2 linked regions of the Xenopus tropicalis genome follow. The protein of the gene in region 1 interacts with the protein of each later gene in a pairwise test. Links are inferred from orthologs where the notes say so. Each region holds a gene or a part of one and is shown on either strand. Other genes may lie near its edges. The genes, in order: arl3 and arl2bp.

Region 1 (4,302 bases):
TTAGAGTGCCATTAAAATGAAATCATTATTCAGCAGAGACAGCGCCATTTAAAGCACATTATTCAGCAGAGACAGCACTCACTATACATGATTAGAGTGCCGTTTCAGCAGAGACAGCTCTCCATATAATTGACTAAACTGTAGCATATCCCACACAGCTCAGCAGGTACAGTTCCCCCTATAGGGAACCGCTCATAATACATTATATATAACTGACATATACATAACTCTACATACATAACTCTACCCATACGTACTATACCGATACGTACTATACCGATACGTACTATACCGATACGTACTATACCGATACGTACTATACCGATACGTACTATACCGATACGTACTATACCGATACCCATACTTACTATACCGATACCCATACTTACTATACCGATACCCATACTTACTATACCGATACCCATACTTACTATACCGATACGTACTATACCTATACCCATACTTACTATACCCATACTTACTATACCGATACGATTGTAAGCTCTTTTGGGCAGGGCCCTCTTCACCTCTTGTATCTGTTACTGATTGCTTTATATGTTACTCTGTATGTCCAATGTATGTAACTCACTTATTGTACAGCGCTGCGGAATATGTTGGCGCTTTATAAATAAATGTTAATGTAATGTATGTACTATACCGATACGTACTATACCGATACGTACTATACCGATACGTACTATACCGATACGTACTATACCGATACGTACTATACCGATACGTACTATACCGATACGTACTATACCGATACGTACTATACACGCTTCAGCAGGCACATTTCTCCCTATATCAGATTATCAGCAGGCACATTTCTCCCTATATCAGATTATCAGCAGGCACATTTCTCCCTATATATGATATATATAAGATTACAGTTGCTTACAATGCCACAATGGACACATAAGGGCAGTTAAGGAGTACATATGGCACAGGAACCTTGCAATAGCCTTTCACCTATACATATGATGCAACCATAACAAAATTCAAAGCCACCAATGCACATCGGTTAGGCATTTACTTGTACATAGTGCAAACTCCTCATGTACCGTACCTGTACCGTGGCTACAACTCTTCACTCCACTAACTGCCATTCACTTTTCAGGTCTTCCGTCCACGCTAGCTACTTAGATCACTGTAGCCTTTAGGACTGCCCCCACCTATTACCTCAGCCAATCGAGTCCCATATCTGTGCCGCTCCCACTTTCTCTTCCCTTGGTGCTTTACAAGCGACTGCAAGTTTTCCGCATGCGCACACCGCCGCAAGGTGGTAGTTCAGGGCGAGGTTTGCCCTCAATGCGCAGCGTCTAGGGGCGTGGCTAAACGTACAACGCACGCCGCGTCGCTGGGTGACGTAGTTGCCCCTGGTAACCTGGAGAGTCGCTGAGAGGATGGTGAGTGGTGCTTTGAGGGGTTCTCGTATCTGGTATTTTAGGATGTTAAAATCCTTCAGGAGTTTGGGGAGGGAAAGAGGCAGCAGATAATGAAAACTAGCTTATTTATTGGTAAATAAAAAATGTGTAATAGGAGAATTCCTCAATGGGTATAGAAAGCTATGGTTGCCGGGACGCCATGATGCTAAAGAGGTAAAAAGGGAGGGGAGAGGGAGGACTGTCACCGTTCCGCTGCTCATCCATTGCTTTTCAGCTTAAATCGCACACACCGTAACCGGGACCGGGAACTATAACTACCAGAATCCCCTGATAGCCGGACATTGTAGTTCCAGGCCAATAGGAGAGTCACAGCTAGAGGCTCTCCGGCTCCAAGGGGTTAAGGAAAGAGATTAAATCGGCAAAGCTCCAGGCCTAATGCCAGGTCTATACCAAAGGGAATACAGATATTACCTTATCTTTTAATTCGAGCATAAAAATCTTTGGTCTCTTTTAGAGACTGCTCTTATCTATTTCTCCTGGGTCTCATTGATGTATTACATCCTGTACATCAGTAGAATAGTCCCCAGCAGCAATGCATGGATGTAGATAAGTAGAGATAACGTTATGTTTTATACAAGCAGTAGTATCTGGAGAGGAGGCAGACCCTGCAGTTGCTGCTAGTTTTGGAGGGCGCTCAAATGATCTCGCTGTGGGGCTCCGTTATGCTGCTGTTGACTATAAATCAATGTGGATCAAATTTTATTTGTAGTTTGTTGATCATTTTTTACATTACATGTTCCGCTGCTGGATTATATGCACATTTTGATGTCATAAAAATACGTTTTTTAAACCCTTGAGCAAACTAGGGGCTGTAATAATGACTTGAGGAGTTAAGGTGGCCATACATGTCAAGATCCGCTCTTGTCTCGATATCCCCCACCTACGGGTGGGGGATATTGGGTGAATTCAGGCTAATTCGGTTGGTTGTTTGGCCCTGGGGACAAACGATCGAATTAGAACGCTGGTAATAGGCGCAATTGGTTCGGGGACTGCATCAACGAGCCGTCGTAGTCCCCGATCCGACCAAATTTTTTAACCTGCCCGATTGATATCTGCCCCATTTCAGGCCAGATGTCGGTCGGGCAGGCCTGTTGTCCCCCTACATGGCCCGATAAGCAGCCGAATCAGTCTAAGGTCCCGATATCGGCAGCTACAAGGTGTATGGCCACCTTAAAGGCCTATAATGCTCTAGTTTGTACAGACCTGCCATACAGAATGATGTTGCCCAATTTTCCCTATTGAAGTCATTATTGGCATCTCTGTCCCCAAAATAGGAACTTGCAAGCAGATAAGTAATTATGATAACATTTATTTGTCAGTTGCACCGCTTATTCAAGAGTTTCATCCTAATATTCCATTCCTAATACGCTTCACCTGCAAAAACTTTTCTAATGGTTGACCACAATGCATTATGAGTGGTTCTGTTTCAGTAAGCATTGTTTCATGTGTGGTAAAAATAACTGTGAACATATGTATTCTTCTATATTAACAGACTAGGCAGAATGTATTTGTAGGGTAAGTTCTATTCATTTGATGGTGAAGCTATATGTAGATGTATACTGCCCTTTTAAAGGAACACTAACATCAAAAAATGAAGGCGTTTTAAAGTAATTGAAATATAATGTACTGTTGTCCTGTACTATTGAAACAGTTGAGTTTGCTTCAGAAACCCAACTATGGTTTATATAAATACACTGCTGTGTAGCCATGAGATGCAGCCATTAAACTGGGGAAAAAAGGAGAAAAGATACAGGTTACATAGCAGAAAACATATTAGCCCATGGCTACACAGCAGCTTGTTTAATATAAACTATAGTAGTGTTTCTGTAGCAAACACACACATTTTAACATTTCAGGGCAACAGTACATTATGTCCTGATTACTTTAAAACATTTTCATTTCATTTATTTTGGTGTTACTATTGTTACTTTATGTATTTAACTATTTTTGGCTGCAGTTCTCCAGTTTGGAATTTGGATTAAGATTTAAAGTCAGATTTAATACATAAAAACATAATATATAAATGTTTAACTTATTTAATACATAAAAATCATGATCTGTGTATTTCTATGGAAATTTTAGAAGCATATTTATCAAATTGTGAACTTTCACCGATTGATAAATACACTTCTTAAAAACCCATAGGAATGAATAGAACATGGGTGAGTTTTTGTGTGTATTAGACTTTAAACTCACATTTTGATAAATCAGTAACACTAGCAATGGGCCTCTTTGTTTAAATATATTTACAACTGTATGTTTCATAATGTATAACAATTATTATAAATCATTTTTGATATAGTGCTGATGTTAAACAACACTTTATAGTGGTTGTTGATCATTCACATTAGTTCCTGTCCTAGTGGTGTTTACAGTGTATATTTGTTTCAATTAAACTTGCATATACAGGTATTGGACCTGTTATTCAGAATGCTCAAGGCCTGGGGTTTTACAGATAAGGGATTGTTCTGTAATTTGGATCTCCATACCTTAAAGGAACAGTAACACCAAAAAATTAAAGAGCTTTAAAGTAATAAAAATATAATGCACTGTTGCCCTGCACTGGTAAAACTGGTGTGTTTGCTACAGTAACACTACTATAATTTATATAATAAGCTGCTGTGTAGCCACGGGGGCAGCCATTCAAGCTGGAAAAAAGGAGAAAAGGCACAGGTTACATAGCAGATAACAGATAAGTTCTGTAGAATACAATAGTGTTTTATCTGTTATCTGCTATGTGCCTGTGCCTTTTCTCCTTTGAATGGCTGCCTCCATGGCTACACAGCAGCTTATTTATATAAATTATTGTAGACTTTCTGAAGTAAACACACAACTTTTACCAGTGCAGGGCAGC
Region 2 (4,373 bases), on another chromosome or scaffold:
TTTTAGGAAAGCTTTGCAGATTGGTACTTTGATGTAGAAAGGTCTCTTTACCCATGTTGGATTTGTCAGAATGTGTACTTTTTTCTGTACAGTTAGGGGGTCTTACGGCACATAATACAGTTATTGGGCTTTTTTTTGCAGAAATTGAGTTGGCAGCTGAGAAAATTCCTATGCACTATTTTCATTTGGGTGCCTCTGTACACCACATACTTTGGTAAATCTTTGCATATTGGGCATCAAAATGTTCAGTAGACCGCTGGCATTCATATTTAGGGTGATGTGTCATTATACGTAAGAAATGTTGTAAGATAAATATGGCAAATTGCAACAATTTTAGGCCTTTTTCAGTAAAGTCATAAAAACCATTAACTTTAGGAAAGCTTTCCAGATTGGTACTTTGGTGCAGAAAGTCTTCTTAACTCATGTTGGATTTGTCAGAATGTGTACTTTTCAAAAATATATGGTTTTTAGGGGTCATGCTACATTTCTGCAGCTTCTACCCCTCATAAAACTGCCATGTGTTTATGAATTAGGTTAAGGTAAGCCACAAAATTAGTGAGCACAAGGTATATTTGGGGGGTCTCTAAGTGCCATGTGCTTTGATAAAACTGTGTACAGTGGGCATCAAACTGTTCAGTAGACCTCTGGGGTTCATATTTAGGGTGTTTTAGCTTGGTACCTAATGCTATGTGGGAGATAAGATGCTGCAAAGTGGAAGCTTTGAGGGGATTTTTGGAAATTTAATCAAAATTGCCAACTTTAGGAAAGCTTTGCGGCTTAGTACTTTGGAGTAGAAAGACATGGGTACCCATTTTAAATTCGGGGGGGGGGGGGGGGGTTTTACTTTCCAAAAATATATGACTTTCTCAGGGGAATGTACTTTTTACTAGCATTATCCCACATATAATTATGTAAATGTGTTGATTTTGCAGAAGCTGAAATGACAGAAATGATAGATCATATGGGGGTATGTTCCCATTCAGGCCCCTACATGCCACATACTTAGGTAAACCTATACATATTGGGCATCAAACTGTTCAGTGGACCCCTGGCGTTCATATTTAGGGTGTTTTATCTGGTTACTTTATGACCTGTAGGAGATAAGATACTACAGACTGGAAGCTTTGAAGCGATTTTTAAAAAATTTTCACAAATTTTGATAAAAACCAATAACTTTAGGAAAACATTGCAACTTAGTAGTTTGGAGTAGACAGGCAGTTCTACCTATTCTGGATTCCCCAGAATCTGTTCTTTTTAAAAATGTATAATTTTCTGGGATAAACTTTCTGTTAGTGGAATTTTTGGCCTTGAAATCTAAAGTGTGCAGCTTTCTGGAGCAGTGCTTTGGAAATTTGGTAGTGTACTGCAGGGAGTTTTTGACCTATACAAGTGAGAAATCTCCATAATCCTATATATATTTGGCATTGGCAAGTTCAGGAGACATGGGACTTTCCAAATCAGTTGTATTTTCATGCATAAAATAATTTTTGTTTCTGGTGTATGTGTTTATATTATGGAAAATATTTTTTTTCATTTTTTAGACATTTAGAAGCCTATATCTTGTTACAGAATTGGAATTACACAAAAATTCCACCATATTTTAAAAGCTTAGGTTGTCCTGAAAAAAACATATATATATATATATATATATATCAAACCAAGGATGGCACACCGCTTCAATTCTTGTCCCGGGTGCACGGTAAAAAAATTAAATATTGCAAAAAAAGACCAGCAACACCGGATCTATTGTGAATAGTAGATTATATTAAAAAATGCATGAACAGCCAACGTTACGTTTCGATCCCCATCGGGACCTTTCTCAAGGCAACCTTGAGAAAGGTCCCGATGGGGATCGAAACGTAACGTTGGCTGTTCATGCATTTTTTAATATAATCTACTATTCACAATAGATCCGGTGTTGCTGGTCTTTTTTTGCAATATATATATATATATATATATATTGTTTTCCTGGGTAAACTAAAAGTCCCCCCGAGGAAAGGCCCCTAAAGTGAAACAGTGCAAAATGTTCAAAAACTGTCTGGCAGTAGAAGTTCCAGTTTGGTCCAAAACGGCTGGCAGTGAAAGGGTTAAAATTTCAGAAGCTATCTGGTTGCTAGGATGTTGTTTACATTAGCAACCAGGCAGTGGTTTAAATGAGAGACTGGAAAAGGAATAGGAGAAGTTCTGGATAGATAATAAAAGTAACAATAATAATAAAATTTAAGCTCACAACGCAAATCAGCACTTATGTTAGTAATGCAACCCCTGCCTGAATAATATACTATACTCTATACTCATTTCAGATGGTTAATCGTTACTCATTTAAGATGCCTTCTACAAACCATACGGAGTCAAAAAGTGTGTCCATTTCAAAGGGATAATGGTACCAATATACTAAGTGTTTAAGGAACGGTAACACATAAATATTTAAATACCTTATAAGTCACAAAACATCTCTAACATTAGATCTAGCCTTTCCCACAAACACAAAAGCTATTTCATGATATAAGGGTTTTAGTAAATTCAGTTTGAAGTGATTCTTACCTGAAAAGGGATGATGGGAATCAGAGCGGTGCAGATATCCAGGGGTAAGCCAATGTCCTAAAAAATGTACCTAAAACAGGTCAAAGGAATATTATAGAAGGTTCCTTGATGATAAGGTTACATTGATTATGCAGTTAGCAGAAGGTATTCAGTGCCCATAAGAAAATATAAATTGTAGCTAATAAGGGTAAGAGCGGGGGGGCGCCGTCTCAAGTCCAGTGTGCTCTGCGTCTTACGGGGCCCGGCTGTGTTGCACTTACTTGGATTGTGGGCCCACTACATTCAATGAGCTACAGAGTTTAGAAGGGAGGGTGGTTGCTAGGGTACCTGCAGCTTCTTTCCCCTACCCAGATTATGTACCGTATGGTTTGTCCCAGTTTTCGTCCCGGTTGAGCCGTATGAGGGATTGGCTAGGCTGGGGGGGAGTTAAAATCTCACCTTCCAAACAAGTAAATGCACAGTGCCCAACAGTCCCGCTTTTCATAAAACAACCCACAGTCGTGAATCACTACTTGCACCTTCAGCAAAGCCTCTAACTGCTTGCTTCCTTCTTTCTTTCACAAAATCCCGACTCCTGGTCTCATCACGCGAGATTTAGCGTCACGGCTACACTTAAGCACAGTGCCGCGCACATAGCCGCCTTATGGGGACTGCGTAAGAGCCTCAAAACAAATAGAAGCTGCTAATGTGTGGCGCTGGGTGCCTCACAATCTGCCTTCCCTCTGCTCGTGTCCCATACTTTCGTAAGAGAACAAAGAAGAATAAAAAGGAGACTTGTTTTGGTTGCCCACCATGATACATGCCACCTCAGTTCCCAGTATTACCGCAGAAGTAATTTGTAATTTTTGCTGAGAGCTCAAATGTGCCAGGGAATTGAAAAAATAACTTTTTAGTGGCTGCAACAGTACATGCTGACGAATTTGACAAAAAAACAAAAAGGGTCCAAGTATTTGTTTTACAGCAGTGTCACAGGTTACTAGACATTTTTTCCTTGGTCCCTACAGCATACCTCCCAACATTTGAAAAATAAAAAGAGGGACAAAAAGATTTGGCGCGTGCAGCGCGGCAATTTTTTGGCCACGCCCACTTTTGTGACCACGCCCCAATTAACACACACCATTTTTTTCTAAAAATACTCCTTTTATATTGATGAAATGGTGGGATCAGATGCAAATGTGCTATACCCTCATACTGTACTACCTAAGGAAGCCCACAGAGCCCCCCAAACACAGTGTCCTTCATACACAGAGCCCCCCCATGTACAGTACCCCCCATACACAGTACCCTTTATATACAGTACCCTTTATACACAGTGCCCCCCCATACAAAGAGGCCCCCCAAACACAGAGGCCCCCCAAACACAGAGGCCCCCCATACACAGAGGCCCCCCAAACACAGAGGCCCCCCAAACACAGAGGCCCCCCATACACAGAGGCCCCCCATACACAGTGCCACCCATACACAGAGGTCCCCCAAACACAGAGGCCCCCCAAACACAGAGCCCCCCATACACAGAGCCCCCCCATACACAGAGCCCCCCAAACACAGAGGCCCCCCATACACAGAGGCCCCCCCATACACAGAGCCCCCCAAACACAGAGCCCCCCAAACACAGAGCCCCCCAAAACACAGAGCCCCCCCAAATCACAGAGCCCCCCAAAACACATAGCCCCCAAAACACAGAGCCCCAATACGCGCTCCGACTCCTTGCGCTGCTTCTCTCCTGTGGCTCCTTCACCAGCGGTCCCTGGCCCTTTTATAAGGTTGCGCCCCGTGTGTACGTGTGACGTCATTACGCACGGGCGCAACCTTATAAAAGGACCAGGGAC

Evidence for each region.
Region 2: the proteins of arl3 (region 1) and arl2bp interact in binary tests that used the Homo sapiens proteins (3 or more experiments, as listed by UniProt). The link is inferred for Xenopus tropicalis from reciprocal best matches to the Homo sapiens genes ARL3 and ARL2BP.

What each region holds. Positions count from the first base shown.
Region 1 is NC_030683.2:29,019,787-29,024,088, forward strand, and holds the start of arl3 (ADP-ribosylation factor-like protein 3), read left to right. Parts: upstream 1-1,312; 5' UTR 1,313-1,406; coding exon 1,407-1,409; intron 1,410-4,302. UniProt on the Homo sapiens protein: Small GTP-binding protein which cycles between an inactive GDP-bound and an active GTP-bound form, and the rate of cycling is regulated by guanine nucleotide exchange factors (GEF) and GTPase-activating proteins (GAP).
Region 2 is NC_030680.2:51,244,890-51,249,262, reverse strand, and holds the start of arl2bp (ADP-ribosylation factor-like protein 2-binding protein), read right to left. Parts: upstream 3,095-4,373; 5' UTR 3,061-3,094; exon of another isoform or gene 2,905-3,060; intron 2,615-2,904; 5' UTR 2,545-2,614; intron 1-2,544. UniProt on the Homo sapiens protein: Together with ARL2, plays a role in the nuclear translocation, retention and transcriptional activity of STAT3. May play a role as an effector of ARL2.